Danio rerio: one gene and its partners. The protein of the gene in region 2 binds, or shares a complex with, the protein of the main gene of each other region. Links are inferred from orthologs where the notes say so. Each region holds a gene or a part of one and is shown on either strand. Other genes may lie near its edges. The genes, in order: smek1, ppp4r1l, ppp4r4 and ppp4r2b.

Evidence for each region.
Region 1: ppp4r1l (region 2) and smek1 share a complex: the UniProt entries of both Homo sapiens proteins name them as parts of the PP4 complex. The link is inferred for Danio rerio from reciprocal best matches to the Homo sapiens genes PPP4R1 and PPP4R3A.
Region 3: ppp4r1l (region 2) and ppp4r4 share a complex: the UniProt entries of both Homo sapiens proteins name them as parts of the PP4 complex. The link is inferred for Danio rerio from reciprocal best matches to the Homo sapiens genes PPP4R1 and PPP4R4.
Region 4: ppp4r1l (region 2) and ppp4r2b share a complex: the UniProt entries of both Homo sapiens proteins name them as parts of the PP4 complex. The link is inferred for Danio rerio from reciprocal best matches to the Homo sapiens genes PPP4R1 and PPP4R2.

What each region holds. Positions count from the first base shown.
Region 1 is NC_133195.1:36,336,049-36,344,648, forward strand, and holds part of smek1 (serine/threonine-protein phosphatase 4 regulatory subunit 3), read right to left. Parts: exon of another isoform or gene 8,130-8,600; intron 7,168-8,129; coding exon 7,065-7,167; intron 6,893-7,064; coding exon 6,734-6,892; intron 6,211-6,733; coding exon 6,041-6,210; intron 5,963-6,040; coding exon 5,820-5,962; intron 4,924-5,819; exon of another isoform or gene 4,163-4,923; intron 2,566-4,162; coding exon 2,375-2,565; intron 2,237-2,374; coding exon 2,025-2,236; intron 1-2,024. UniProt on the Homo sapiens protein: Regulatory subunit of serine/threonine-protein phosphatase 4. May regulate the activity of PPP4C at centrosomal microtubule organizing centers.
Region 2 is NC_133181.1:52,154,069-52,161,360, reverse strand, and holds part of ppp4r1l (serine/threonine-protein phosphatase 4 regulatory subunit 1), read left to right. Parts: intron 1-200; coding exon 201-301; intron 302-400; coding exon 401-521; intron 522-641; coding exon 642-776; intron 777-2,020; coding exon 2,021-2,162; intron 2,163-4,344; coding exon 4,345-4,490; 3' UTR 4,491-7,292. UniProt on the Homo sapiens protein: Regulatory subunit of serine/threonine-protein phosphatase 4. May play a role in regulation of cell division in renal glomeruli. The PPP4C-PPP4R1 PP4 complex may play a role in dephosphorylation and regulation of HDAC3.
Region 3 is NC_133195.1:30,092,285-30,100,884, forward strand, and holds the end of ppp4r4 (serine/threonine-protein phosphatase 4 regulatory subunit 4), read left to right. Parts: intron 1-1,556; coding exon 1,557-1,739; intron 1,740-1,828; coding exon 1,829-1,934; intron 1,935-2,028; coding exon 2,029-2,176; intron 2,177-2,305; coding exon 2,306-2,447; intron 2,448-3,374; coding exon 3,375-3,413; intron 3,414-3,523; coding exon 3,524-3,595; intron 3,596-4,648; coding exon 4,649-4,712; intron 4,713-4,851; coding exon 4,852-4,932; intron 4,933-5,663; coding exon 5,664-5,754; intron 5,755-5,873; coding exon 5,874-5,935; intron 5,936-6,020; coding exon 6,021-6,177; intron 6,178-7,576; exon of another isoform or gene 7,577-7,711; coding exon 7,712-7,757; 3' UTR 7,758-8,244; downstream 8,245-8,600. UniProt on the Homo sapiens protein: Putative regulatory subunit of serine/threonine-protein phosphatase 4.
Region 4 is NC_133181.1:46,721,241-46,729,840, forward strand, and holds part of ppp4r2b (serine/threonine-protein phosphatase 4 regulatory subunit 2-B), read left to right. Parts: intron 1-234; coding exon 235-316; intron 317-807; coding exon 808-978; intron 979-4,438; coding exon 4,439-4,532; intron 4,533-5,020; coding exon 5,021-5,058; intron 5,059-5,169; coding exon 5,170-5,244; intron 5,245-5,319; coding exon 5,320-5,460; intron 5,461-7,300; coding exon 7,301-7,623; intron 7,624-7,704; coding exon 7,705-8,027; 3' UTR 8,028-8,600. UniProt on the Homo sapiens protein: Regulatory subunit of serine/threonine-protein phosphatase 4 (PP4). May regulate the activity of PPP4C at centrosomal microtubule organizing centers.

The DNA of each region.
Region 1 (8,600 bases), on a different chromosome or scaffold from region 2:
GAATGCAATTTCACAAGATGACAAAACTATTTGGAACAAATTCATCATTTTACAGTAATTGGGATAATTTTGTAGAGGAGGATCTGCATAAAATACAATACAATTGAACTTGATGGGTTTCTGTGAAATGAAGAGAGTGTTGAGGTACAGAAATTTAATAATAAAATATAAAACAACACTGTATAGTCTTCATTGTATAATTCATTCATTTATGTTTATATACCTTTATAACCTCTTAGTTTAAGTTTGCTTAAATCTTACACGGGCATCAGTCTTACAAACGCATCCAACTGAAAATCTTTCACTAATGTTATGTGGTTAAACTTTGCGATGACCCCACAAATTAAACGTTCTGAACTGACTACTGCAGATTCACACATTGTGATAAAAATGCTGAAACGATATATTATGCACCCCTTAATGAGAAGTAACTAAGCATCAAGCATCTGATACGGTAGTTGAGACTATTTTTTGTTATGAGCCATATGATACAAATCTGAATATTACTAGACATAAATAAAAAGTTCAATAGGCATCTACTGTGACAGCATCAGAGCAGAAGTCATTAATATTGAGCACCATTCTAAACATGGAGCTTTTTATTCTAGGGATGTATTGTGGGGTAAATAAATGAGCATACAACTGGAGACTGGAGAAATGCTCACCCACTGACAAATCAGCTGATTCTTCTCAGTTAACATCTCGAAATGGTTTCCAAATCACACTTAAAGAGTCTTTGATGAACGGGACTGATCTGACTGTGTATGTTCTTGAGGCAACATTTACTAATTCAAATTGATGATTTATTATTGAAATAACTTTAAGCAACTACTGTTAGTTGTCTGCAAACTAATTGAGATTGTGATATGGTCACAATATGGGTGTACATTATTTACAGCCTATGATAATGTCATACTTGTTGTTTTAAACGTGTGAGCTGGCATTATCAATATCGTAACTCTCTTGGGAAAAGAACTCATCCAAAAAGGGTTTTTCACTGCATGCTTTTGTACTTTCACTTAAGTGAAATTGAAAGAGTGTAATTGATACTTTTACTGGATTATTATTTTATTAAGTATTGGATAATATGCTTCAAGCCAATTCAAGGAATAAGCTGATGTGGCATCATTATAGACAAAATTAGGCCTAAACAGAGTTCAATTGAAACTCAAAAAAAAAAAAAGTTTTCCAAAGAAAATGTTTTGAAAATATATCCTTTTTGGGACACCTACCAACTACCAATGCTCAGTGGAGATTGTATAGCAGGTAGGAGACTCTCAGTATTCTGTGAATTTTTCTCTGGTTCATTTCCTGTTCACAAACATTGAATAGCCGATTTACAGTAGAAAAAAAAACAACACTAACATTAACACTGGTTTAAAACTCAATCTACAGTTTAAAGTGCCATTTAAAGACACATGATGTGAGTGGACTAGACTGCAAAATTGAACATCAATATCAGCTGCTTTCTTAAGTTCTGTCATTTTTGTTTATTGGGAGGAAAAGGTGGAGCACATATTTACATAATCATTTAATACGGGATGTTTGCTAACAGAATATCACTGCTCATGTACTGCAAACCTCTTTTTATCTTTGGGGTCTTAAAAGGCCTATACCAATAGGGTGCCCAAGTCAGGGTTCTTGCATCTGTTCCAAAGTCAAATCTTAGAACTTTTCAAGCTTTTGCAGGTGCATTTTAAAACTTTTCCTAAACTTTGCCTGCAGTACACACACATTTTCTGCAAGTTTTCATTTTATGCAAAAGCAAAAAGGCTTATTTTATTTAAATAGTTAATAATTATTACATATTTAGTAAAATACAATATTGCAAAAGCAATTACATTTTTTAAGCAGTTTTAAGCACTTTATCCAAAATCTAAGCACTTTTTAAACCTTTAAAAAAACAGTAGATTAAAATTCAAGCAATTCCAGCACCTGTTAGAACCCTGCCAAATACTTTGTCTTACAATAGTAAAAAAGGAAACAACTAGAATTTTAAAGCACTTTCAATTCTTGTTAAATACCTTAGTGGTGACAGCTGCCGAAGGGGGAGAGCTCCGGGCCCCTGTCCCGGGAGAGCTAGGAGAACCAGGTGAACCGGGATGAAGGGATGCAGTCGGCGGAGAGGACAGGCTTGCCTTTGGCGAGCTGGAGAAGGACAGTTTAAAACTGGGACTTTGCCGTCCTGAGAGACTTGCTTTCCCTGTCAACACCTCCTTCTCTTCTGAATCTTTCACTTGTGGAAAGTGAAGGAGAAAGTACAAAAAAGTTATCAATCAAACAAACAACACACATTACATAATATTATCTTGCAATCAAGTGGAGGACAATACTAGCTGATCATCACACCATCCTGTAAGTAGCAGTAACATACATTTTTTCCTCTCCATAAATTTGCTGATGGGATCCATAAGGTCCTCGTCATTCTTCATCTTGTCCGACGGAGGCACAACTGCTTCACCATCCTCTAAGTCTTCCTCATCCGTATTAAACCACATCTCCTCCTCGTCTTCCAGTGTCCGTGCATCCCGGCGAAAACGGTGATTTCTCAGAATCGACCGCATACTGAAAATAATCAAGACGACAGGGGAAAAAAAACATAATGGAATGACACCATTTGATACCAATAAAATCATAGCAGCTCAAATTCCAAAAAAGAAAAAAGGTGACAAAGATGCAATCTCCTTTTAAATATTGACTTCAATAGTTTCACAGTTGTTCTTAAAACAGAGGGGGAAAACTTCCTATACAGTTTACTTTTTATTTTATCAAATTATTTTAAGTTTGTATTTCATAAAGAATACATTTTACACTTAAAAAAAATGTTTTGTATGAAAATATTTTTTCCTCTATAAAACAAGATACTGATTTTATAGCCCTATTAAAACTAAAGCAGTGGTTCTTAAACTGTGGTACTTTCATCTAGAGGTACGTGGAGAAATATTGAATAATAAAAGAAAGAAAAAAATGAACACACTTTTAACCCTTTGAAGCAAACAATTACACTAATGTGATCAGTGCCAGCTGTTCCCTGAAGCATACGATCACATCGGTGTGCTTATAATGTTTACTTTAGTTCATCACTCCATCATACGCTAAAAATCAACCCACTTTGGTGCAGAGCCAGAAAAAGAGGTGCACAGCTACAGCGCTTGGAGCAGATATGCGCTAGTGAAGCACTTTTGCAAACCAGTGCAGTGTTGACATTTCAGTTACTGCAAAGTCAGGAATTTCCCCATGCTGCATCATTGGTAAAACAATTATAACAAATGTGTTAAAATGTGTCCATAGTTATGAAATTTAAAGCACGTTTTGATATATAAAGTTTTTGTTATTTTGATATAGAAATTTGTTTTGTAAAGCAGTGTGACTTTCGATTAATTTGTTATGTCAGATTTAGGCCAATTAATCTGGATGTGATTTAAATGTTGCTCAACACAAAACATAGACTCAAGCAAATTCGCCATGCATGAAGCTTGGAGCTAAAATATAGCCCAATTAAAGGCCACTGTTACGCTCCTGGAATTTTGCATGCATGTCTCTCTCTTTTCTCTCTTGCGCACACGCGGACCTGTTCTCTCTGTCTCTCTTCTCTCTTTCAGTTTTAAAGAGTCAACCCCCTTCGAATTGTTATTGGCTGTAGGAGCAGTCAATCATCATTATCTTCAGTGATGTGGTGGCTTCGGCAGTCAATCTGAGTGGTTGCCAGGGTTTTAAAAAGACGACGAGTGGGACGCCGGACAGAGGCTTTTGCGTTCCTGTTTTGTTCTTTGTTTTAGTCTGCCACTCGTTATTTCTTTTGTTTTTTTGTGGTACTTAATATTGCTTTGTCAAAAGTTGTTCTTGCCATTATGTTTATCTTCATTAATATTATTTTTGTTGTTTGTTTGAAATTTTGTTGATATTCTTTGTTTTACCCAGGGAGATTTGGAGAGGTAGATGTCACATGACGTACATCCTTACATCACTTAGTTAAAGTGTGTATAGACACACCAGGTTTAAGAGTGAGCGCTGGCTTTGTATTTTACGGTTTGGTTAAGTTTAGAGTAGGCAAGTTAGGGCTTGTAAACGCCGAAGACTTGCTTTCGATTATTTTATTTCAGTTAGGTTAAAGGATTATACTGAGTTTGATTTTTGTTTTTGTTATTTTCTTTTCTTTCAGCGCCACTTTTGTCCTTTTCCCCTGCGGGGTTTATTGTTTTTGGATTTTGTTATTATAAATTGTATATAATTTAAATGTTTTTTATTTGTTGTCATCTATTTTATTCTTCTTTCTCATAACTATTTTCTGTTTATCTTTGATTTTTGTATAATAAACTATTCTCTTTTTGGCAGTAATTTGCTTGATGCATGGTTCTTCTCCTATTTACAAAAAAACTGTCACAATATGAATGTTATTTACTTCAATGCCTATTCTTACATCATGAAGTCAAAACACCCACCTACCCAGGTAAGAGCAGCGCACGTCAAAGTTCACCATAGATCTACTGCTGGATTTTATCTAATTATAGTTGTTAAATGTGATAGATTAAAGTCATCTTGACTATCTATTGACTCTTTGGTCTTTTAAATCTATTACTTGTTCTCTGGTAACGCGTTTTGGCGGAGCGCAAATTATACATCAATTAATGTAACTACAAACACTGATAGTGCACATTTGACTGATTGCTTGCCTATATTGTATAAACCTATAGTACATTATATTTTTATAATTGATATTACTGATTATTAAAACTGATATTCAACAAAAGAGAGGGTATGTTTCATATTTTTTGAAGAACATTAAAGGAGGCAGTTAAGTTATAGGCTCCGTTTTGTTATAAATATGCATACAGTGAATATGACATAAATATGTAGCTACATGATGCCTTACATTTTTGGCATCTGTTAAGTTGTTAATATCAAAATGAAAGTAGGCAGTTCCTTAGATCATGTTTTCATTTGATTGTTATTATTAAGATAGTGAAACAGCGTAGCCAGAGTGATGTGAATGACGTTATAAACTACACTTTTCCTTGAAGGTACACCCGACATGTCCTTGGGAGTTTATTTTCCATATCAAACTTGCAAAGTCGGATCTTAAGGAAAAGATGCAAAACTGAACTTTATGCACTTAATATTAAGAAAAAGCCTTAATCAGATTGCGAACGTCTGCAGCCATGCCTCCGTTTAAGATGTCTCAGTTTCCCCCATCCACAATGACAAAGAGCAGCAGTGTTGTAAAATGAAAATGGCCTCTTCAGCGTTTTCAAAAAGCTCAGTTTTCGGGGCTTAAAAACTGTAGCCAAACTTGTGTTTTAAAAACTAAAATGTATTAGTGAAGTTTGGGTTAACTGCACACAGAGACTAAGGTCCCATTTACTCTGTCTACAAAAGATGAGATCTCAAATCATAGAAATTTTGTATGTATGAATAAATAAATCATGTATGAATTGGTCAAGCTGTGTATTTTTTGCATGCGATCACTTACTTTTCTGACAAACACATTCATTTTGTTTGTTTTTTTTAACCTATAAAAACAGTACTGTATTAATGTTCAAACTATTTATAATGTTGTATAATGTGGCTGACACTAAGAAACATTCTTATTAATACAAATTAATATGCCTCGTTTTTTAACTTTGCAGAGCATAGCTGCTTAATTAGGCCTACCACACTACTGTATTTTAATACTGGTTATTATGGTAGTACTTGAGACTATTTCTTTCTGATGTGGGACTTGATGAAATAAGTTTGAGAAACACTGAACTTAAAGTAACTTCAGTGAAGTTATAATCAGTGAGTGAATGGTGATTTTACTAAATGTGATGACCACTGACCTGTCAAGTTTTGGGTTGTCCTGTCTTTCTCTCTGCTGTTCATATCGGAGCTTTAGTCCTTTAAACGTCTGAACATAGTCTACGTCCTCCAGGCCCTTCCAGTAGTTCTCTATGATATGAGCCGTCAGTGACTTCACATCCTCCTACACACACACAACATATCAACCTAGCAGTGTGTACAAGAGCATCGAGAGAAGGGATGTGTGAAACCATGTACTCACCACTCTGACATACTCAAACATCTCTATAATGGCTGAGTTTATGAGGTTGTATCTGGATCCATTATTGAGGAAAGCTTTGACCACTGGCTCAAACAGGAAGTTCCTCATAATGTATCGGTTATAAAACTCATCCTTCAGGCCAATGATTTTTCTCATGAAACGCAAAGCACCTGGATGACAAACAAGTGGGAAAGGTACAATGAGATTTTGCAGCCAAGGTATAAGTGATGTCTGTCAGTTTGAAAGCACCGAGTGTTTGGTCTTTGTCCAAAATAAATAAATGCTTGTTAATAATGCTGCTGGCCCTGAAAACAGAATTACCTGGCATGTGTTATAATAACAGTGTAACACTAAACAGAGCCTTTCATTATACAAATGGATCAACTTTAATGAGTTTGGGGTTATTGATTTAAACGTTCTCATGAAAAGTAGCATAACTAACTATGATGAAGGCCTGTCATTTGTACAGTTCTACTTAGCTTAGACTTCATAACTTTAATACTTTAAGAAAGAGTTCATCTAAACTGCTATAGTGTTAAGCAAAGCAAAAAAAGCAAAAGCTCATCTTCGCAACCGACAACAGCAAGTGGAAATACAATATTTTCTGCAGAATATTTTCATTTCAAATGTGATATCATAAAGCTTTAGCTCATTATAAAATTGGTATCATTTGTGCAGTGAGAATTTACTCACATAAGGCTAGGAAAGCATGTTGTGATGCAGTGAGCACCAGCACTCTGCGCAGGATGTCTTTGTTGATGATGTAGTTCTTTATGTGATACGTGTGATGCTCCACGCAGAAAGTGAGCAGCTCTACGATCAGAGCCAGCAGCTGACATGTCTGGAAATCATCTGACAAGACAAACAAACACAGTGAAAAGTCTGTAAAGCTTACATTTTTTAATATGTATGCAAATAGTCACACGAACGCTTCAAAACAAAGCTGCCAAAACTTTCACCCTGCATGCATCCTACAAGCGTACACATACACACACATGCTCAAAAAGATAGTAAAAGTTATTACCTTTGCTGGGTTTTTCTTCAGTGGTGTTGGCAAGAAGTGGAGCGGAGAGCACATGCATGCAATGCTTATAGAAGAAGCTCAAAAACTCGGTCTTCTCAGTTTTCTGCAAGGAACCAGACAATTCAATAAAAAGAGAATGTTTCTCTACAATCTGACAAAGAACAAAAAAGCTGGGTGATATGACAAGAAACAACTTTGTTCAGAACATCTGAACAATTAATTAGATATAGAAATGTATTAAATTTAAAATGTAATGTTAAATTAAAATTGCTAAATTATCTGATTAAAAATATTACAAATAAAACAACTTGGTAAAAGCAGATCCCTTTAAATTCAGCAATAATAAAGAGGGAACAAAGCACAATATTCCATAGAATAAGCACTTTAAACCTGGCAGAGAAGCACTTTTCTCAATTTGATCACAAATGAATAACATCAAACAGTTGTAAACTGACTCTCCAAATCCTTTTTCATCGTCTCCATTGTTTGTCTTTTTCCCCCCATGTAAACATGTTATTGACAGACACTGTGACCACTGTTTGACCACTGTGTTCACACTTTACAGCATATCAAGCATAAAACGAGTCTAAGGCCCTGTTTACACTTATTCGTTTTAGTTTGAAAACACAAGTTTTTCTACAGTTGCGCCATCCGTCCAAACTATGCCAGAGTTTTCAACGCCAAAAACTTAGCTATTTGAAAATGCTGAAGAGGCTGTTTTCATTTTAAAATGCTGCTGCTCTGTGTTAGTATGGATGGCGGAAAGCGAAGACATCTGAAAACAAGGGCAGAGCAGCAGACCTCTCTGATGGGAGCTTTTTCCTTAATATTAAGTAGCCTACATACAGTTCAGTCTTGCATCCTCTCCCAGCAAGTTCAGACTTCACAGGTTAGATATGGAAAACAAACTCCCGAGGACACTCCGGGTAAATCTTCAAAGGAACAGCATACTTTATAACCTCATTTACATCACCCTGGCTACGTTGTTTTACTTTCTTACCAATAAAATGAAAACTTGATATAAGGAACTGCCTATTTTCATTTTGAGATTAACTAACAGTCAGCAGAAATTGTTGAGGCGTCGTTTAGCTGCATATTTATGACTGTCATGTTCGTTGAATGTATATTTCTATAAAATTAATGCTTCCTTTCATTTTCATTCAAAATACGAAACACACTGTCTTTTGCTGAATATTGGTTTTAATGATCAGTAATGGCCATTATAAAAGTATAATGTACAATAAACTATAATATACTGGATTCACCTCTCACCCATGCTACAGTGTGTGTGTGTGTGTGTGTGTGTGTGTGTGTGTGTGTGTGTGTGCGCGGTGGACTGCTCTCACGCGCACTTGTTATAATCAATATGAATATTCCAATCAAATGGAATACAATCTTACATCAACAACATATGCCAACCAACGCGTTGATAAAAACAAATAATCATATTAAATTACAAACAACCGTTATGTTTACACGTGTTGTTAAATGTGCAGGTCCTTTAAGGGACTGGGCTTCAATTTGGCATGTGTGTGA
Region 2 (7,292 bases):
GTAGTGATAGCAGTAAATCATTCCTAATTGCAAGCAATCAACCCTAAACCAAACCTTACGCTAAGTATCTTACAAAGTATTTAATTCCACTGTAACAAGCACACAATAAAGTGAAAGCCAATTGTTTTATTCAACAACCACTCCATCTTCCCTGTCCTCAAAAGTTATTTGTGTGCCCTTTTTTATTTTTATTTTTTTAGCTTCTTCATGCCGAGAAGCGGCGGGAGTATCTTTATCAGCTGCAGGAGTTCATGGTGACCGACAACAGCCGAAACTGGAGATTTCGCTATGAACTAGCCGAGTATGCACTACTTTACAAAAAGCTTCATTTACACGGTGTCCTTTGAAACCTCCAGGCGTGATCTCACTCTCATGGTATTGTCTTTGTATGTGTGTTCAGACAGCTTATCCTGATCATCGAGTTGTACAGCCACAATGACGTCTATGACTACCTCAGACAGATCGCACTTAACCTTTGCTCTGACAAAGTGTCAGAAGTGCGGTGGATCTCCTACAAACTGGTGAGACTTGTTTCCTGTGGCACATTTGGAAAAAACAACTCTCTGCTGGCTTTATTGGCTCCATTGTTTTTCAGTGGGGCTGATTCAATGATTTTTTGTTGTCTTGTGAATGTTTGTCAGGTGGTGGAGATCCTGCAGAAGTTGTATTCCTGTGAAGCTCATGACTTGGGACTTAATTTCATTAATGAGCTCATTATGAGGTTCTGCCACAGTCCCAAATGGGTCGGGCGTCAGGCATTTGCTTTCATTTGCCAGGTATGATGTTTGACTTCAAGAATCATTCAAAGGATTTACAGGGTTTCTTTTTAATCTTATTCATTTGTTCTTCACATTTGTTCGTCTCTTATTTTGTGCTGCTCTTTAACTTTTTAAATGAATGTTTTACATAGAATAGTCATGATGTTTCTTGACACACCGAGATGGATAAATCTGAAATGATGAGAGCACCATAATAGACTATAGTGCAGTTAAGTGTTAGTCAGCTGGTGACTTCTTTATATTGTCACTACACTAAACTTTCTTAATGCTTTCAAAATGAAAAACACAATATGTACGGAAACAAAGTAAGTTATTTTATTTCATCTTGCCTGAAATGTGGCAGAAAATTACTAATATTTTATGTAGTGCGATCATTTTTACCTGGTGTCCGTGGGGGTCTTATAAGTTGATAAATCAATTTAGAGAAGTTTTTTAACCCTTAAAAATATTCTAAAGTCTTAAAGTCTCAAAGTCTGCTGTTATACACGGTATTAAATTTCTCAGAAATTTGCGGACAATTTAGATTTATATATATATATATATATATATATATATATATATATATATATATATATATATATATATATATATAAAACTATATATTTGCATAATAACTGTTATATTAAACAAATATCATGTATATACACACACAGTTGCAATCAGAATTATTAAACCCCCCCTTAGATTTTTTTCCGCTTTTTTTAATATTTCCAAAATTATGTTTAACAGGTCAAGGAAATTTTCAAAGTATGTCTAATATTTCTTCTTGAGAGTGTTTTATTTCGGCTAGAATAAAAGAAGTTTAAAAAATTTTTAAAAGCTATTTTAAGGTCAAAATGTTTAGCCCCTTTAAGCTATTTTTTTATATATATATTACTACGCATGAATGCATGCATACATACATACATACTTACATACATACATACATATATACACGTGTGTGTGTGTGTGTGTGTGTGTGTGTGTGTGTGTGTGTGTGTGTGTGTGTGTGTGTGTGTGTGTGTGTGTGTGTGTGTGTGTGTGTGTGTGTGTGTGTGTGTGTGTGTGTGTAAAGAAAAGAATTGCCATGTAGTTTTATTTATTTTGTTATGTCTATTTTTTTTTTGTTTATGTAATTTAATTTCACTTCAAAAGAACTAAAGTCTGACATCATGGGGTTTGGATGTGAAACCTCTCATGTAATGTTTAATAGTATCTTATTGTGTATTGTTTATTGGGATGTTTTCTGTCTTTCCATATAGGCGGTAGTGGAGGAGGACTGTATGCCCATGGACCAGTTTGCCCAGCACCTTCTGCCCAGTCTTCTCAGCCTCTCATCAGATCCTGTGCCCAACGTCCGTGTGCTGGTGGCCAAGGCTTTACGGCAGAGCGTGCTGGAAAAACGTAAGACACACACGCACAAAACTTAAGTTGAAGATGGCTAGTTTTTTAACTGTTCACAAACCTTAAACCTCGCTTAAACGTTTCTTAAGGGTTATTTTAGGCTCCAGTTGTATTTATACAGAATTTGATAGAGCAGAGTACAGCTGTTTTAAAAAGCAAACAGCGCCATCTGCGGTTAAAAACTTAAATGAGTATTAATTCAAGAGTGAATAGTGATGCATTTTGAAAAAAATGAACCGATTTCTCAAACATTTTCATCACATTTCTCAAACAAACTATAAAATGTTTTATTAAAGCAACATTAAGTAGCGCTGCACACTGTTGAAAAAAGGTGACATTAAGATTTTTTGTATTGCTGCAATATACATTCACCGGCCACTTTATTATTTATTATCGTTAATGCACATTTCTAATCAGCCAATCACATGGCAGCAACTCAGTGCATTTAAGCATGTAAACATGGTCGAGAGGATCTGCTGCAGGTCAAACCAAGCATCAGAATAGGGGAGAAAGGGGGTTTAAGTGAGTTTAAACATGACATGGTTGTTGGTGTTAGACGGGCTGGTCTGAGTATTTCAGAAACTGCTGATCTACTGGGATTTTCTCACACAACCATCTCTAGAGTTTACAGAGAATGGTCCGAAAAAGAGAAAATATCCAGTGAGCGGCAGTTCTGTGGGTGCAAATCCCTGATGTCAGAGGAGAATAACCAGACTGGTTCGAGCTGATAGGAAGGCAACAGTAACTCAAATAACCACTTGTTACAACCAAGGTATACAGAAGAGCATCTCTAAACACACAACACGTCCAACCTTGAGGCGGATGGGCTTCAGCAGTGAAAGACCACACCGGGTGCCACTCCTGTCAGCTAAGAACAGATAACTTATGCTACAATTCTCACAGGCTCACCGAAATTGGACAATAGAAGATTGGAAAAATGTTCTGTTGTGGCATTTGGATGGTAGGGTTAGAATTGGGCATCAACAACATGAAAGCATGGATCCATCCTGTTTTTTATCAACTATTTCAGGCTGCTGGAGGTGGTGTAATGGTGTTAGGAATATTTTCTTTACAAACTTTGGGCCCATTACTACTAATTGAGCATCACGCCACAGCCTACCTGAGTATTGTTGCTGACCATGTCCATCCCTTTATAAGCAGTGTTCCCATCTTCTGATGGCTACTTCCAGCAGGATAACACACCATGTCATAAAGCGTAAATCATCTCAGAGTGGTTTCTTGAATATGATAATGAGTTCACTGTACTCAAATGGCCTCCACAGTCATCAGATCTTAATCCAATAGAGCACCTTTGGGATGTGGTGGAACGGCAGATTAACATTATGGATGTGCAGCTGTGAAATCTGCAGCAACTGTGTGATGCAATCATGTCAATAAGGACCAAAATCTCTGAGGAAATTTTCTAGTATCTTGTTGAATCTATGCCATGAAGAATTAAGGCAGTTCTGAAGGCAAAAGGGGGTCCATTACTAGTAAGGTGTGCCTAATAAAGTGGCCTGTTAATGTATATCGGGATATGAATCTAATTTTATAAGATCATTTAAGTAACCCATTAAACATCAATTTACATTGATCGAGAGTGTATATGCATAAAATTTAATACAAAAGAGCAAAGATACTAATAAGTAGTTCTTTATGGTTTTCAGACAGTCCGGAGATGCAGAAATTCAAAAGGCGACTGTAAAATAACACTATTCAGTAGTCAACATTTGAAGTAGATTAAAACCTTTTCATCAAAGTTGTCCTAAAACTATTTAACAACACCTATTTCTTATTTTTATAAACCTTTTGATCCACTTCAAATGTTCACTACTGTACTCAATATTTGTTGACTAGTCAGTACTGTAGTATTTATTCATTGTATAACTTAATACAATTATCATCATGATCAGTTGTGGCCCAAATGGTTTAAATTTGCTTTAAATTCTATGTAGTCACAGAAAAAAAAACTTTCGCTCTATTAGGGTTAAACTTTTGATTTGTTCAGCATTCTGCTCGAGTATAATCCCAGATCAACGTTGCCGATCCTGCAACCTGACTATTGCAGACCTCTCATATTAGGATATCGATGCTGAAACGATATATTGTGCAGCCCTAATATTTAGCTTAAATCAGTAGTCATGAGTACTGAGTGCCTTTTCTGTATACGCTCTGATTTCAGCGTATTTCAAGGACCCAGACAGCGCTTATTCGGATGAGCTGGAGAAGACTCTGTCTGTGCTCCGCAATGATGAAGACAGAGACGTGCGCTTTTTCGCCACACTGGATCCCAACAGAAACATTATGGACACCACAGCGTTGATCTAGCACCTTGTACAATCCGCACATGTGAACAAGCACCAGCAGGAACAACACTAAACGGATTCACAGACGAGCGTTTACAAATAGGAACTACTGACCAAGACCTTCGCATACACACACACACACACACACACACACACACTCACACACCGTTTCCTGTCCTAACACAATCCACATAATTAGTATATGCATATATTATGCATTGTTTTGATTTATACACAAAGTGGGCCTCATTCATGAAACTATCTATGGAACTATAAGCAATGAGGTGATGCAGATTTACTTTCCATTGTGGTTTTTATCCAGTTAGATGATTAAATCATGAGATATTGGAATTGAAAATCAAGGAAACTTTTCATGCGTGAGGCCCACCTAAACTCTCACTCACACAACAACCATTTCACCTCTCTGAATGGTGCAAGGTTTCATTTGCACCTTCGTGGCAGCGTAAGTATGTGGATTGTGTCATTTCTCCTCATCAAACCGTTCTGATGCGACCAGCTGCCCCTCCAAAGCAAACTGTACATTTCTTTTTTCTTTCTTGTGGATTTCTTAAAGCTAAAGGACTAAGAAGACAAGCAGACTGACACAGTGAAGTGCTACTAACTCAGGGAGACCTGAATTGTTTTTGTTTTTAAAGCTGCAATGCCGTAAAGTGGTATCGAGCTGAGCCCAAGTGATGATGCCTCAGAAATGTTGCTGCGTTCACCAACCTCCTGTTTACCCAACCCTCAGGATGCACACAGACTGTGGTGGAAAATGAGTTATTGCAGCTCAGGAGCCCCCCCCAAAAAAACTCCCTATCCTTTTTGTAGCTCGTCCTCGTCTTCCCTGATTGGTGGAGAGCGGTTTTATTCCTCGCCGTTTTATTAATAAAAGGGGCCAGTATTTTAGAGGCATGGGAGGTGTTAAACCAGTGCTTTCCAAGCAAACTTTAGAACCACTAGATGAAACTATTTATCAGGCTTTAAAGGAACACTCCACATTTATTTTGGAAATAGGCTCTTTTTACAAGTCATCTTGAGTTAAACCGTTTCCTATTTTTAATTCCATTCAGCCAATCTGGCTCTGGTGAGTGCACTTTTAGCTTAGCTTAGCATAATTCATTGAATCGGATTAGACCATTAGCTATATGCTCAAAAACAATTATACCTTCTGTTCAAAGCTTGACTGTTCTATAGTTAATTCGTGTCCTAAGACTGACAGAGAATCGAAAGTTGATATTTTCCTGGTTGATGGGGTTATAGGAACTATACTCTCATTCTGACCTAATAGTCAAGTGGCTTTGTTGTCGTACTATGGCTGCAGCAGGTGGAATGATATCATGCAGTGTCTGAAAAGAGTCCCCAGCTAGGGAACAGTGCTACATAATATCATTGCACCTGCTGCAGCCATGCGACTACAGCAAAGTTCCTTGATTATTAGGTCAGAATGAGAGTATAGTTCCTATAACCATATCAACCTGGATAATAGCAACTTTTCATTTTCTGTCAGTCTTATTAATGGTGAAACTACAGAACAGTCAAGCTTTAAATAAATCCTTTATCCAAACACTTTGATTTTTGAGCAATGCTAATGGTCTAATCCGATTCAATGATGTATGCTAAGCTAAGCTAAAGTAAAAGTGCTACCACCAGACCCATGTTGTGGCTGAATGGATTCACAAATGGTAAAACTCATCTGTTTTACTCTAAAGTAGAGTGTTGTGTTCCTTTAAGACTACAATGACATTTGATTTGTCAATTGTGAACTCGACCTGCAGATGGCGCTGACAGGTTGTCTAAAGCGAGCACACTGTTTAGTCAGATTTGCACTAGTTAAATCAAAGCACGCCATGATTCCTCTTATTCCAACAGATTTGCTTTCAGATTAATAAGCTATTGCGCTCTTGAAGTCGGACCATCCGTTTTTATTAAGCATGGCGGTGCTGCTCTTGGCATCGATTAACTCTCTATTAGATGCTGATTGGTTATCGGCATGCCTGTTTAACTGTTTAAGTATTTCAATTGCGAGACCGGACTTCCATCAGCATACAAGGGCAAACTTTGCCAGGAGCACTTTACTGTTCATTAAGGGTTTAATGGAAAGAGAATGACAGGTTCTTTTATATAAATAATAATAATAATGGTAATAATAAATCTGTTGGATCGTGAATTTTTAACAAGGCGACTTTCTTGACCAAACTCAAGTGGTGCTCGGATCCAGTGCGTTTATTCTCACAGATGTGTGTGTATATGGATTATGTTTATGGAATGTGTAAATGGAATTGTTTTTAAGAAAATATATTAGGTTTAGTCTAGTTCTGAAATGCAGCCTGTGATCAAATCGCTGATATGATTTTATTGATGATATCGGCAGGATTCAAGGCCAGTTTTTGTTCTTTCCCTGTGGCGAAGATTGATTTGAGGTTGTATGAAGGGGGACGTTGTTTTCCTCGTGTTCTCATGTGTGTTTGTGTGTCTTTTTTGTTTGTCCGATTGTTTTTCTTCCACTTATATGGACCCTGTTAATAGTAGATTTATATTTTGTTAGATTATGTTTTCTCCAATAGGTTGTTTTGTGTGTGTGTGTGTGTGTGTGATTTTCCTGAGGCACTGACATCACTGATGTCAAAAGCAAAAACCACTTCATCTGTCTGCGTATGTACTGATCTACTGGAAATGTTACACGATTAAGAAACAAGCTTTTAATTTCCCCCCCCAATCTTTTATTTTTCTCATTGTATCATGGTTAAAGATTTTATATCCTAACCTTTCAGGTTACAACCTTTGTAATTTTCTGTGCATCTCTTTTAAATACATTTTATGT
Region 3 (8,600 bases), on a different chromosome or scaffold from region 2:
CAAAAGTGTTCTGGTAGCTTTGTGTGATTACAGTTAAACTAGTGAAGTTACATGGAATGTTTTGTCAAAGAGGTTGGTTTCTTTTCTGGACTTTGAGAATCTTGGAACCATTAGTGTATTTGGAGGATCAGAGAATTTGTGTGCTGAAGATGAACAAAGCTATTAGGGGTTTGGAAAGACATGAGTAATTAAGACCAGAATTTTCATTTTGGGTGAAGTAATAGTTTAAACGTCAACAATAACTAGTAAAAAAAACTATGTTCTCATAACAGCCCTGATTCTTGCACAAATTCATAGCATTCTGTGTAGTTTTACAGCTATCAGAGTAGAAAGAAAAGCTGTCGTCCTCCATGTAATATAATGTCCTGTTGTCTCTTTTCACATTCATGTGTAAGTTCCATTAGATTGAAAAGATCAGAAAAGTCTGTACATACTCATTCAACCCACTTATTCAACCTCCCTTTAAAGAAATAGGCCAAGTGGGTGAAAGTAGACAAAACAGATGGATTGAGCAACAGGTGTAAAATGGCATGCATTGTTTGTTATTGCCAAAATGCTTCTGCTAACTTAATATTGGTACCAATAACGTTTTGACTTTATTTCAGTTTACTTGGATTAAGAGGTACATATGAGCTGAAATAAGAGAGCGCATTTGAATCTGGGACTGGAAAAAACTTTGACAAAACCTGTTTTAGACTTTTAGTCCTAATAATAATACAAAAAGATTTCTAAAATGAATGATTTTTTTAATAAACAGCTCATCATAATTTATACAAATATGTCATTAATATTCCTATTGAACTATTTATAATTCTTATTTTGAAGTTGTTTTTTTCTTATACAAAATAAAAGTAACTTTTGATAGCTATAACTGTAATCTTCTAAGTGTAAATAAAATTGAAATGTTTGAAATCAGTATTCAGTTTGATATATTAAAGAAAATATAATATAGTATGTTTTAATTAAATTGAAAATATATTTTTATGTCAATATATTTTTAAATGCGTTACTGTGATGGCATACTTTAGCTACATTTTTAGCAACTGTTGCTTCAGACTTTAGTGACTCATGAACGCACAGGAATCATTCTAATATGTTGAATTCATGCTCAAAATAAAATATTATCAGTGTTTAAGACAGTGGTGCTCAACCCTGTTCCTGGAGATCTACCTTCCGGCACAGTTCAGCTCCAACCCTGATCAAACACACCTGAACCAATTAATCAGGACCTGAACAGCACTTGATAATTACAGGCAGGTGTTTGATATGGGTTGCAACTGTAATCTGCCGGACGGTAGATCTCCAGGAACAGGGTTGGTCACCCCTGTTTTAAGAGATAGTTCTGCGGTGTAATGTTTTCGTAGAAAGCAAGTTAGAATTTTCCAGGACTCCTTAGTGAATAGAAAGCTCAAAAGACTATTCAAATATTTGAAATAAAATTTTGATTTTAATGTAAAAGTCTTTTCTGTTACAGTACATTTAATAAGTTGAATGCAGGCATCTTGCTGAATATGAGTGTTTATATAGTAGCTTTTATATCACTTTCACCTTTACAGCAGGTGAATATACAAGACTTGGTGCCAGCTTTGGTAGCAGCAGAGCAGAAAGCGGCTTCTTCCCTTCACTGGCGAGTTCATGAAAAGCTGCTTCAGTGCTACTCGTGTCTGCCTCGTGTCATTTCTGGAGACCAAATCTACTTCCGCTTCTTTCAGAGGATGTTCAGCATCATCACCACTAATGTAAACATCTTACACACACAGACCTTTCAGTACAGTCTCATCCGTTATACAGTATGTTTGATCTGTCTTTTCTGTTTACTCTGTTGTAGAATGTTCTGCCAGTCCAGCGGGAAGCTGTCAGGACGTTATGTGTGTTCCTGCGCTATAACCGCAAACAAGAACAGCGGCAAGAGATAATGAGTAAAATAAAACAAGGTAAAAAGAAAGAAAAATACTTATTTGACACCTTGTGCTTGAAATTTTGTCTTTTTATGTGGTCGGGACTGTGTTTTTTTCTCCTGTATTTTAGATCTTGCTCAAGGTAGAAGCTACTGGAACAGGCTTCGCTTTTTGGACCTGTGTGATATCACAATAGACCTCTTCTCCAAATCATATTTTTGCAAACATTTTCTTATTCCAGCACTTGAGTTAGTTAGTGATCCTGTGGCCAATGTCAGGTGAGCAAGTTTTCCACATTATTGCTTATTTTTTGACTTTGCTATTCATTTGAATTACATAACTTAATGCTTTAAAGTATTTCTTCAAATTGTTGTTGTTTTTTTAACAAAAACAAAACATTTTGGCAGGTACAAGCTCTGTTATATGTTGCCCAAATTGAGATCCACCATCAGACCAACAGAAAAGCATCTGCTTCAGCAGCTGGAGTTCTGTGTTCGGAAATTGTTGTGCCGTGAAAAGGATAAAGATGTAGTGGTGACATTGAGAAAGGTGAGGAAATCATTATTAAGGTGCATTAGCATTGTATTGGCAAATGTTTTGGGCCAGCATGATAATAAATAATTATAAATAAGTTTAATATTACGGTTTGGCTTAGTGTTATCGCATTTCACAGGCTGCAGTTTAATTTAATATAAATGCGCCGGGTTTCAGTGCAACATGTTTGCACACCAGACATCAGATTGCATGGATTTCTTATGAAGTGAGATTTTATTTTATTGGATTTTTTTTATTTTATTTTATTGGATTTTATTCACAAACACTCTTTTGTAAAATGTATTCTGTACAGTATACTGAAGGTGATTCAATTTATTACAAGTAGGGATGCTCCGATCAGGATTTTTGCAGCCGATTCTGAGTACTGATTCCTTGTCATGGTGATTGGCCGATACCAAGTACCGATTCTAATGCTTCAAGCTTTATAATGCCTAAAGCACATTTTACCTCCAAGTATGATACCTAAATGAAGATCTTGCCTTACGAAAGAGAATAAATTCAAGATGTTGCATATATTTCCTTAAATGTCTCTTAAAAGCATTTAGTGTGTACCTGTCATGGTCAGAAGCAGCTTTTCAGAAAATAATTAAGAAAGCAGATACAAAAAAATTGGTAAGAAAAATGACTAACTAAGCAATATGGAAACATTGCAAATGATGGAAGAATGTCTCATTTTTATTTCCCTAATATTTCTAGTCAGGTTTTAATGAATTTGTAATATTGTAGAAAACACTTCTTATAAGTTCTTGTAAACTCGTAAACAAACTATTGCGATCGGTTCATGAGATCGGCCAGATTAGCGAGTACCAATCGAGACATGAAATGTAATTATCAGCCAATACCGATCGCTGGCCGATTGATCGGAGCATCCCTAATTACAAGTAATGATATTGCAAAAACTGTTTTATTATTTTCCCTCAGACAGTTCTGGAGCTGGACAAAATGGACATTACAGAGCCGGTATGAAGGATCTGTGACTTTTTATATTTGGTTATGATGACAGTTTCTGTACACCATAGTTATTTCTTTTGAGCACTGTGAGCGAACTTTGCCCATATTTATATTTGTAGTATCATAAAAGGCATGAAAGAGAGCTCTTGGATCAGAAAAAGGAGAAGGAGGAGACCCTTTTACTTGAAATGGTGAGAGAGATTTTTAATTACTGAAATTGAAGGCAAATTATTATTATGGTTATGGTTTTTTCCACCAAAACCATTTTGAAAAAGCAAATAGGCTTTTCCTTATGTGTAAATGTGGGCGGTCACATGCTATTTTCAGTACCAACAAGACAAAAATGAGATTTTTAAAGAGATAGTTCACCCAAAAATGAAAATTTCCTCACCATTTACTCAGACTTAAATGGTTCTAAACTTCTATTAATTTCTTTCTTCTTTTGAAGACATAGGAGAAAAACAGCCAATGACATCCATAGTCGGAACAAAATATACTATGGTAGTCAGTGGCTGCTTTTCCCCAACATTCTTTAGTTATACTTCTTTTGTGTTCAACAGAAGAAAGAAACTCGGTTATGCTTTATTTTCAGATGTCTTTGTTACAGAGTAACTATTAATTCAGCGACTAATAAATAATATTAATTCATTACAAGTACTTTTATATGTACTTACTATATGGTTGGGGTTAGAATGTGGATTAGGTTTAGCTGAATGCAATCAACCATAATTACCTGTAATTACTATTATTGCTTGCCGGCTTAGGTATGCAACAAATGAAGAGCACCAAACTAAATAGAATGAAAATGCAAAAATATATTTATTTAAAGGTTAAATATATGTAAATTAAATGTCTAACATAACATATATAGTTCAAAACAACAGATAACATAGGATCAAATTCCAAAATAAAATAAAAATAATATATAAGCGGTAGGTAAGCAAAAAGAAGTTGAATGGAAACGATCCTCCGAAGCAGTCTGTGAAACACATCTTTGCAGCTTCTTAAATAAGCAAAATCTAATCACAAACCTGTAACACTATAGTAAGTACATACTGTAGAACTTGTGTAGCACGGACATCTAAAAATAGTGTTACCAGAAACTCAAATAGGTTTGGAACAAGTGGAGAATGAGTGAATGATGGCAGAATTTATTTTTTGTCTGTGAACTATACTTGTATATGTTCTAGATCCCTACATGTGAACTATTTGTTGCTACTGTATTTGTGCTGCTGTTAACACAGGAACTGTTGGAAAGACAGCAGAGTGAAGCAAAACTAGCTGGAGATAAACAGTCTGAGAAGAAACGTGAGTGATGTTTATTTATGCACCACTTCATTAAGAAGTTTACTTTGTGCTTTTTGTTGTAGCTTATTGTAAGTTTCCTAAATGTACTGTACAGCATATGTGTGTTTATGTTGTGGTTTATTATATTGTTGTGTTCCAGAACGAGAGAGCAAATCAGGCCTATCTGGTAGTAAAGGAATGTCAGGAACATTATCAGGAGCATCATCGTCCTCTTCTTCTGGTTAGAATCATTGTGTACATTAATTATTATTAATTTTTTGTCAATTAACAATTTGTCAATTTTAGATTTTTCTTTTTTTTTTTGGAATAATTTTAATCAGATAAACATTTTATTTATTGTGATAGTCCCCACAAAAATGAATATTTACTTACTGTTTACTTACACTAAAGTGGTTTTAAATCTTTGTGAGTTTTCTTTTTTCTGTTGAACACAAAACAAGACATTTTGAAAAATGTTAGAAACATGTAATCATTGACTTTGTAAGTAGGCTTCAGGTTTCCAACATTTTTCAAAATATCTTCTTTTGTGTTCAACAGAAAAAAGAAACTCAAACAGATTTGCGAAGGGTCAGAAAATGATGACACAATTTTCAGTTTTGGGTGAACAATCCTTTTAATGATCAAGTAAAGGAACATGATGGAACATGCTTGAATTATTATAACATTTTATTATATTTTCGGAAATGCTGAATATTCCATTTTGAAAACTAACAAAATAGTAAAACATTAAAAATATTTTTTACAATAAAAATATTTCACAGAAATACTGTTTAACTTTTGTGAACAAAAAAATCTGTAGCGTGTAGCAGAAAGCTACTTATGTAATCGTTTTGTTATTATTGTTTTTGTTATTAGTTTGATAAATTTCCAGTGACATAAAAATGTTAAACATTTTCTTAAAGTTTTGTAATGGTCCGGTGCTTATCATCTCCACATTGCTGCTGTTTCTAGGGAAGGAGATGCGGAGGGCTAAACTAGCTCGCAGTCGTTCTCTCAGTGGCCATCCCACAACACCCAAGATGACAAACTCAGACAAAACCTTGTACGTAACAAAATCCCCTAAGCTTTCTTATGTTGCTACTGCAGTTGGTTCTTTGACCCATGACCTGTGACCCATCATCGCTAGTACTTCAACATTTACACTCACAATTTTTTCTTTAGAAAACTGAAAGATTCAGGAAGTTGCCCTGGATCAGGAAAGAGTCCTATGCTACCTTTAAATGGTAACTAATGAGATTGTTCTTCGTGAATTATATTGTTATATTATATTGTTGTTTACATGTACTTATGTACTTGTTTGCTTTCCAGATGATAACCTGCGACCCCACCACTTTAATGTTGCTTCTTCAATCTCCTCCACCCCATCGTCCTCGTCCATGCCTGTTCTGATCCGCAGCAACACCAGCAGCTCTGTGGATCACCGGAGTAACGGGAATAAAGACACACAGTCTAGGAAACTTTCTGTGTATGTTTCTCAAATTGACTGATAAACTCCCATTTTTAATCAGCCACTCCCCACCTAGCAAAATATCTCTGGCCCAGCTCTGACCCACACAATCAGCTTTTACTTGGCCCACATGCTGCAGTAAATTACGGTACATGACTGGACCAAGTCTGGCTTCCAGACAAGGGCCAAACATGGACCATATCTCAGCCAAATTAACAATCCCTAACCCTGAACTAGGCCAGATATGTTGGTGTGTCACGACTGCAATGAAATTGATAAATCCATAAAGCATTGCACTTTAGACATGCTATGGGCATGCTTTTTCTTGCAGAGACCTGATTGTTTTTTTGTTTTTTTTTAAAATAAGAATTTAAATGTGGGTCAAGATAGGCCAAACTCACATGGCCCACATATCAAATTATAACATCTGGGCCAAATACTACATTTGACATCTGGCCCAAATATTGTGTGCCGCCTTAAAGACGGTGCCTGACTGCTGTCAAACCTGGGCCATGTTTGGTCTGAATGCCTGCTGTGCCAGCTTTATGCTAAATCTCAGCCAGAATTCTTTGCTTCCTGGGTTATTATCTAAGTGCCGTATTCGGCTGTATACAACTCATTATTTCATTATTTAAAACATGCTGCACCTCACTCCAAGGATGCAAAGCATTTGCAAAATCTGCACACATTGTCAAATGAGTGTATCTATACAACAAGTACATCATTACTTCATATTTTAAACAATATTATATTTCTTATCTGAATCAAGTCATTATGCCTATAGTAAAAACAAAGGAACAGCTTATATAGCCTTGCAGAATTCCAATTGTAGTGTTCATAGATGTCATATAGATATTGAAACTGAGGGCAAACATGCTCCCTTTTGAGCCTACTGGATTATTAAGGCAACTGCCACAAGATATAATGTACATTTTTACATTTGACAGTTAAGTTCTATGGCTATTTAAGCAATCACGTGAATATACTGTGAATTTATTAATTACATACTATTGAGAGAAAACAAGAGGCATTTTACAGGTCAAAGTACTTTATTTATTATTATTATTTATTCATTTATCACAATGATTTTATTCTGTTCAGACACGTTTATATATATATATATATATATATATATATATATATATATATATATATATTTATATTATTTCATTGTGCGCATGCAGAGCTGAATCAAAACCTTACTTACACATTTTTTTGCATACAATTTTTTTCAACTTCCAGTGGCCCAAATATTTGAAGGTGTTCCTTTTAAATAAATTTATTTAGGCTTTTATCATTCTAGTTTAAGGTGAAAATTATAAAAAAATTTCAGTTTGTTTTACATACATTTCTATCTGTTCTGAATAATAATGAACATTTAAAGGATTTGGTGTTGGTTTAAGGGATCTATAATACATTTTTATAATTGTTTTGTACAATGTTTTGATTTATTTTCATTTCTTTTTTCTTAGCAATGCAATTTTGTTTTATTATGAACGGGTGTGATTCAGCAAGAGTGATCTTATGTTGTCTTTCTGTTTGTGTTCGACAGACAGCGGAAGTCGAATTCATTTGGAATGCAGTCTGGGAGAGAGTGATTACCACTTTGCCTTCTGACTTAAAGCCCCTTTTACAAGACTTTTCATTCTGCAGCAGCAGCACAGCAGTGTCCCTCCATTTTGATGTGTCCATTCTCTCTTCTATCCCAGAAAAGGCTTAAGATGTGCTGGGGCATCAATTAAGGTCTGCATTGATCCATCTCTGCCTTATTTCATACAAAAAAAACAATCAAAATCTCACACCATACATCATAAAATGAAACCGAGAGTTGAGGAGTAATTGAATGTATTTAATTTACTGCCTCATTATTTTGTTTCTTGTATTATAGCATGCTTTGCAAAATTCTCTGTTTTATATTTTTGAAGTGGCTAAGAGAAAAAGAAGCACTATGTATTTTTATGATTGAAGAGTTTTGGAACTCTCCATCCCATCCCACCAATGAGATTGTGCCTGGTGCCACCCAGCACCTGATTGATTAACGCCAACATCTTAGTACCCAATGAATAAAATTCATGTTGAATATGACGTGCTTTAATGACTTGCTTTTGAACTGGCTCTTTAAATACTGACAGCGCACATAGAAAAACAAGTTACTAGTTACACTTGACATTAAGTACACTATTCATTTAATTTCCTAGCAAACATTGGATTGTGACTATATTATGCTGCTACTTAATGTTAATTAAATCACAGTATAATGTTAATAACAGTTAAAAGGTTGATACTGATATTAATTGTTTTAAAACACTATTAATATTTGGTTATTCACGCAAAACAAATGGATGTAGGAGTGAGAACACCTGTATACACCATTGGTAGTTTCTCTAATTAGTTCTTAGTTGGGTCGACCACACGTCCAATGTAGAGGATGCATTTTGTGA
Region 4 (8,600 bases), about 5.4 Mb from region 2:
TGTGTTTGGTTTTAATGCATGAAGATTATCTAGAAAGAGAGCCGCTTTGTAGTTGTGTGAAAATACGAACAAATAATTGAAAGAACAATAAACGACTATTTCCTCCTTATATTTGTGATGTCTGAACTAGAATGGAGTCAATCAGAACTAAAATATTATTGATAGACTGAAATGCATTAGCAGGATTTGGAGTTGCATGCACTCCAAAATAACTTTTGCTTTTGTCTCCTGCAGATTTTGACAAGAAGGTGAAGAAGGAAGCGTCTACAGTTTTGGACCAGTTTTTGTGCCATATTGCAAAGACTGGGGAAACCCTGTAAGTACATTCAAATATCTATGAGTGATCTAAGTGGGACACAGAAACCCTTTTCACCTTTGTCTTCTAGTGGTTTGTTAAAAATCATAACTGCTTTTTTAGGTAACACCAGAGGGTGGGTTGTTATATGACCTTTTGGTTTTGTTCCAAAACAAACTAAACCTTGTACTTATCGACTAGATCTGACTTGGCCGACCTGCTCTCATTTCATGAACTCTTTAGAATACATGAATGAAAATTAAAAAAATATTAATATCTATCTCTTTGTAATACTTCTGCTGTCAAATATATTTGCTCAATGACACTGAAATGTGTTATTAACAGTCGTGCTGGTTTTATGCCACTCACATCACCCTGGACTCTACTCACATTATGTAACAATTGCAACCAAATCATTTAAAGCCCATATAATAGTAAGTTATATAATAAACAGCTTTGTGACTGACAAATCTAAAAATAAACTGAGCTGTGAATGCTGTATATCTCTTCAGGGTGTCCTGGTCTCAATTTAAAACCTACTTCGTATTTAAACTGGAAAAAGTAATGGAGGATTTCCATGCATCGGCTCCAGAGCAACGAGGGCCTGCCAACCCTAACGTGGAGTCAATTCCCTTTGAAGAAATGAAGGAGCGAATCCTAAAGATTGTCAATGAATACAATGGGTAAGTTTGTTATTCTTGGCGAAACTGTGGGATTGTGTTGTGGCAATTTTAATGTCTATCATTCATTATCTGAAATTGATCGGCACAACATCTAATGTCCCGTTTCCACTGAGTGGTAAAGTACGGTACGGGTCACCTTTATCAGGTTTGGAATCCAACCACCTAAAGGGTAAAAATGGTCCTCTTTTGTTGGGCTTGGTGTACGACAGAAGGTTTGTCTACATCATTTTCGCTCGAGGACATTTCAAAGTAAAGCAGTACAGGTCATTCACATATCATATAAGAAGCACTTCTCACAAAACAGGTGCTTTATACACATAAATACTTGTGTATAAATGTTCAGTACTAACTTGTCTATGAACAAGATTTGATTATAACTGCAGATCAATGATGCAAAATAGTGCGAAATGGCTTACTGAAACATCTGCAATTTATATAAAATAAATAAATAAATGCAACATGTATGAACACATGTAGAAACTTATAGTTTCCGATATGTTACCGATTACAGAAGAACGACATCACATACATTTAGGCTTTATTTGAGTTTAAAAACAACATGCAACATCAGTGCAAACCTCTCATCTGTATCCTTAATCTTCACTTCATGTTCAAGCTCTTGTTAGAAAGTCATTCCATCATTCTGAGTTCATAATAGTCCAAAAGGTGATGCTAATAGTTAAACATGGCAGTTTGTTTATGTTTTAGGTTGCTAAAACAATAATTTTTGTTCCTTTGTTTTGTTGAGCTTCTTTCGTTGTTTTTTTTATGCATCACTCTTGCGTTTGTCTGTTCCTGAAAGAATCGGGTGTCAAAAACATTTCAATAATCATGTGTGATTATCATTCGATCAAGAAGTTTGTTATTCTAAATATAGACACACGGCGAGCTCAAGTGAGGAAGCAAAACCGCTTGTGCTTTAGATGACCTTGTAAACAACTATGGGGCACAGGGTAGTTCTGCTCTTCTTGGCTTTGTGGCTGTTCATCAAGACGACAACAAGGCTTGTTTAAGCTCTGGTCGACCATGGCTTGTTATTATATGTATATAGTATTACAGTCGAATGTCTCTGCTGTGTTTTTAAAAATGGTGGTCCTTTGTTTGTATTCTCCTGCTAATGACTTGTCTCCTGCTAATGACTTAAACCAATAGCATTCAGCTGCGCGTCTTGCTCTGCCTTTTGGTACCCTTTTGTTGTGCTAGGTACCCTTCTGAAAGAGTACCCAAAAAGTGGTACGGTAAGGTTCACTTTTAGGCAGGGTGGGAATTACAGTGAGGTTTGGCGAGGACAATATCACAGGATATTGTAGGTCAGAATACATAAACTATATCACAAATCACTGAAAAATGAAATATTTTGCATTAATAAAATAGATGTCATTTAATTGTCAGTGTATAATTCACACCCTGCTTTTAGGTACCTTTTGACAGTGGAAACGGCCATAAGAGTGTAACGACCCATACCGTAGCATTCAATGGAAACAGGCCATTACTCATCAACCAATGCCCTATGCAAATTTGGGAAGAAAATGACACCATTGTAGTAGTAGTAGTTTGTTCTCATGGACATATGCATCAGTAGCCTGTGTGCATGTCTGAGATGACTGTTGACGCATTGTTTGTTAGTCATTACATTAAATCATTACATGGTGCTATTAAAAACATTTTCCCTGCTTGCGTTTTGAGTGTCATTTTCCACATCCGTTACACGATATGTCATGAATCATTACATTTACATCAAGCAAGTCATTCAGTGTCCACAGCTCATCGGTTTGCTTGAGAAATGAACTTCAGAGCAATGAAGTCTTAATGTCATTTATTCAAGCTATTGTGTACAATATTATATATATATATATATATATATATATATATATATATATATATATATATATATATATATATATATATATATATATATATAAAAAAATGAAATATCTAATTTTAGATGGGTTTTATTTCAAAATAAGTAGCAAATGAGCTTTAATATTATAGTAATACGCACAAACTGTTGTATATTTACAGTATTATCTGAGTCGTTATTGACCCTTTGCTAAGCCACACCTGAAAACCACCATACAACAATCGTGGCTTAGCAACCATAGCTATGTGCAGGAGGTCTGTCAAGCTTTTAAGCGGGGGAAACAAACCAAAGCGTTGTGCATATGGCTTGTGCAAATCTGATACCCGGTATCCTAAACATTTGTTGGATGGGGTTGGGGAATTTTTTTCCCATTTTAAAGCCTAAAATCCAAAGGGAGATAAGCCAGCATGAATCAAGCTGTGTGATGATCCATAAAAGCAGCACAATCCATTCATGTTTTTCCTCCGTTTCAAGCTACGAGTATTGGATTACGTATCAACAGAACAAAACAGACAAACTGAGCTCTTGCGATCAATATACTTCACCCACAGCTGTTTTTCAGTAATTTATAACCCTCATGCCCATGTCAGGGCTACAATTCACTGATGTTTTAGTCTGTCTTTTGGAGATTTAGTCACTGGTGATGACAATATAGCGAGTTAGTGTCTGCTTTTATATTTGGTGTCAGATTAATATTTGCTGGTAGGGAAAAATCTATTTGTTCACTTTTGCCATTTATACGTTGATGTGCATTTCAATCTATTTATTTTTTCCACTTAACTGCAAATTAGAATAGAAACGGTATAAAAGCACACAAACATACTGACAGTTATAGATATTGTACATTGTTATGGGTAAATGATGCTAATATTCGGCACAATCTATCAATTTCCTGTTCTTTCTATGAATGAATTATATGTCCAAGCACTGTCCATGCTAGTTTCCTCATCGGTTAGTAGCGCTATATTTCATTGCACAGCAGTTAGTCTATCAGGCTTTTTGACAAAAAAGCTAAATCACGGTTTAATTAGTTATTATTAGATTATTTTTAAATTTCACCTAACCTGCTGTGCATGAACTAAGCTGTAGAATGCTCAGCACATGAGGCGGCTAGGCTTTAGCTTTAAATTTGATTAAATTATTTACTAATCGGTTGCGTATTATGTCATGAAATATACCCCCGAAATGCATACTGCAGTCCTTTTTTGTCTGCCTTTCTCAGATATCTCACCTGTTTGCCAAAAATGACTAATTAAATCCCTGAGAATGTCTGACATGGGCACATACATATTGTAATAGACGTAACTAAAGAGGGCGGGGCTTAGCGAAGGGTAAATTACATTTTAAATGCCTGTTTTGTATAATGTACAGAAAATGTATTAAAAATTGAGGAACGTAAGAAATCTTTTTTTTAATGCCCTAATGATATGCTTACTGTAACTTGCTTTTGGACAAAAGGAAAGGGCCTGGGTGTTTACCCCAGAGCAAGTGTGCCCTCTCCTGGCTGTTGTTTTATAACAAAAATGATGTTATGGTCCTAATTCTTAGTGGTTTGTTGTGGAGGATGCACCAGTTAATTCAAATGTCTGCTCTATCCAGGATCCCATTTACTATCCAGCGCTTGTGCGAGCTGCTTACTGAACCTAAGAGGAACTACACAGGAACTGAGAAGTTTCTCAGAGGAGTAGAGAAGGTCAGTGTGTGGTGCATTCTTAAAAATAATAAAGGACCTGTATAAAGGAAATAAGGAACTAATAAATGAAAGCAGTGGTCCATTTGCTTTAAATACTTTCACCTTTTTGTCCTGGCCTTATAATGGTGACAGACCCTTTCCTGTATGTTCTGTTTGTATTTGCATTGTATTGTAGTTTGCATCCAAAGTCGGATGTGGAATATTATTACTTGCTATCTCTGATTTCCATAAAGACACACTGTTGGTTTACGGTAATGTGAATTTGTTTTGCAGGTGTGCTATTATCAATATAGAAGATAGCTTATAGTGTTTTGTATGCTTATGTTTGCTTAATGGGCTTTTATTACCAAGTAAAGAGGAAGTTTAGCTCATTGAATGGTTTGATTACTAGTCAAATGCAAGCAGTCCAGCTTTTATTTTTTTTGTCCTTTCCTTATAGCAGTAGAATCGTGAAGGTTAATAATATTGACTTTTCTCTTTTTCTTCAGAATGTGATGGTGGTCAGTTGTATTTATCCAACATCTGAGTAAGTTATTACTGTTCGCCATAAAGATTAAGATCTTCTGTATGACAAATAAACAAAATGTGATCATTTACTCTGAAATGAATGAAGAGCTTTTTTTTGCCCTCTTTGTAGGAAAAATGGCTGCAGTGGTGTCAACAGAATGAATGGAGTCATGTTGTCTGGAAACACATCTGCATTTACAGAGAGGTAAGGAAAGTATATGAAGCCTAAGATAGTCATTTTAAAAAATATATGCTCTATATATTGCACTGTATATTTCAGGAAAGTGAACGGTCCAGGAACACCCAGACCATTAAACAGACAGAAACACTCCATGTCCAGTTCGCTGGCCACAAATGGCCTTCCGGACAGTACTGAAAACAAAGACACAAACACACCCCAGGGACACAGCAAAACGACCAGGTAGACATCATATTTCAGCTCATCTTTCATGCACTTTTCACCTGCATGGACCATGACACACTTTTGAGCTAGACTTTGTTGAAAGGATGAAAGGGATGGTAGGGGAACAGTGGGATGAAGAGGAAGTAAGAAGATAAACGGTGAATAGGTCGGTAGGTTGATGGAGCATCCTACAAAGATGCCCTGAGACTAATAGTGGGGGTACCGTCTCTGTAATGTTTTGGTAGAGTGATTGGACCCCCAAATTCAACCTAGGAGGGAAAAGAGGATCATAGGATTGTTAATGGGAAGTAAGGAAATAGAGGGAAGGAGGGAGGGTGGGTTCAGAAAAACCAGAAGAACAGTGCTAGAGCTGGGTTTTTTAATCTGTGGGTGGCACAAGACATTGAGGCATGCTCTTGAGTAAATAATGATGACAAGTTTTGTGTGTTCATTAGAGTGAATCTGATTAATGTTAGCTCCACATCTAACTGTCAGGCACCTGTAGAGTTTATGCATTAGAGTAAAATCTATACAAATATAATGGACCGGTTGCTTTTTAAAATGAATGACAGTGAATGAAAGTAATACCGATGAACCGTCAAACAAAATCAGCTGGATGCTCTTCTGGACCTTTCACTAACTTTAACGACACTACTGACTACATTTACATGGACATCTGTAATCTAGTTATTTGCCTTAATAGACGGTAATATAATTAAGGTGTTTGCGTAAAGTGCTTCAATGTAAGAGTTTCACTTTAAATCATGAACATTTCAGTCATGCCCCCATGACAAACTGGGGTATTAGACGTAAATAAGGAGTAAGGACTGGTGAGAGTGTTATGGAATTTAACCCTTAGATGCAGAAGCTATAAAATAGATATAGAAAAATAATGTAGTGCATCAAAGGGTTAATGATGCACGCCAAATGGAAAGAAAAAAACCTCAGCATTTTGCGATGTGTGTGTTTGTGTGCAGTCATTTACGGACCGCCACGTGTGTATCTTGTTAAAAATATGGCAAAGTCCTACATGACGGTAATAGTTTGATTGCAGTGTTTACTTCTGTATTTCCACTATTATATGCATACTCCATGTCTTGATTCTATTTCTATTTGGTTCAGTTACGAGTTTAGTCAGATTAAGGTGATCCTAAATCATTGTTTACATGGTAGACTCTTAATCGGAGTATTTTCTTAAGTGTATTAAAATCTATTAAAGTATTGGTGTCCATGTAAACAATGTTCAACTCAACCACACCGTCGGGGCTCTGCGAACTTGGTTTTGGGAAGCAGCATTTTCCGTATGTACGTACATCAAAAGCAAGTATGGTATGGCTCACACTTATTGACAGTGGAAGATGATTGATGGTTAGTCGTGTCAGGAATCCAACCATGTTGTCCTCAGAGAAACAGGCTCAGCCATCACACTGAATCAGTTGAGCTATACATTTATGTTTCAACGTGATTAATGCTACACACTTTAAATGCAGCAAGTAATATGTGAATGGTGTTTGCACGTGAATTATAATTTTGGAGGGGGTGTGCAAGTGAAATTGTCTAAATGTGGGGGGACGTGTGTCCTAAAACGTTGAAAACCTCTAAACTAGAGGTCTAGAGGTTAAGAAGAAGTGAGGTGTGGATCCACTGTTGAACCTTTGTTAACAAGTTAAATCCAGTGAGATAAAGTATTAAAGAGACAAATGAATCATTTCAAATAATCATCTTGTGTGTGTAATGTGCTGATAGTTTAATCAATAAACATGTTTTATCTTTTAACGTGGTAAATAATTAACTCTGCTGACCTTCAGCAAAAATAAATATATAGAAATGGCCATTTTTTTCATTCTTTTTGTTGCAGTGATGCATCTGCGTCAGGCATTGGTGGACCACTTGGCAGCTCTGTAAAAAACAAACACTTGGATGACGAGGAAGATGAGGGAATGGAGGAGGAGGAACACGAAGTTAAAAGACTCAAATTCAGCCAGGATGGCAACGAAGATGAGGAGGACGAAGATGATGTGGACGAGCAGGTTGTGGAGACCCCCAGATCCACACTGAGCAAAAGCCCCTCAGATAAGTCAGAGGACCCTGAATCACCGTCATCCATGTTGCAGGAAGGGAGTGAAGAAGAAGAGGAGGAAAGTAAACATGAAGGCTCGGCTGAAAACTCTGAAGACCAAGGTGGCATAGTTCAAATTATTTCTTGTTATAAATAGCTCATTATTCTTTCTATAATGCATTTCTTTTTCTTTTTTAACACAGAGCCTTCCAGCACACAACCCGAGTGTCCTGTGGCAGATTCCAGAGAGACGTTTACAGAGAGAGAGGTTCCCTGTGGTTCAGATGACTCTTCAGAAGAGCCCAGCGATATGGACCAATCAGAGCAGAGAGCACCAGCAGGCGTGGCCTCGAGCCCTGAGCTGAGAGAAGGAGAGGAGCCAAGTGAGGTCAGCAGCAGTAGCACTGACGACAATGCCTCTGGACCCACATCCAGCAGCAGTAGCATAGACTCTCCAACAGAGGGCGACACTGGGTCAGGGGCACTGGACTTGGAGAGCGCAGAGGAGCCCATGGAGCAAGACTAAGAGCCTGCACACTCCTACCCCAAACAACAATGTGCTTTTGTGGAGATTAAGACGACACACACACTCAAGTGGCCTTCCACAAAGGTCATCCCAAGCAACACCCAACCTACCGCCATGCGCCTTTCTGGTCGAGAGTCCACCTAACTTCTCCAAACTTCCCAAACGGACACTTTATGCAGATGTACATATGATTTTATTGCTGAAGTGAAGGTTTTAAGCTGTCTAAATTTCTTTCCTTAATTTGACGTCATGGGGTTTTTGCCAATCTGTTTCATCATAGGGACTCAAGTTTTTTAGGTGTCTTACTGTCATCAGCTAATTGCATAAATATCCATGGTTAAATACAAGTTTGTAAGAAGTCTCTTCCCCCTGCAAACCTTTAGTTTTATTTAACCTGGACTTTTTCTTTTAATATTTTAGTCTTGGTTCAAAAGGTCTAATCTATCCAGTCTTGTTCTAAAACGAGGACGTGTCTCCTTTGTGTATTAATATTTTAGGCACACAGTGTCAAGCATCAGGCCAGTGGAGTTTACCGCCTGAAGACGCATAAACTGGCCACTGTTCAAGTTACGT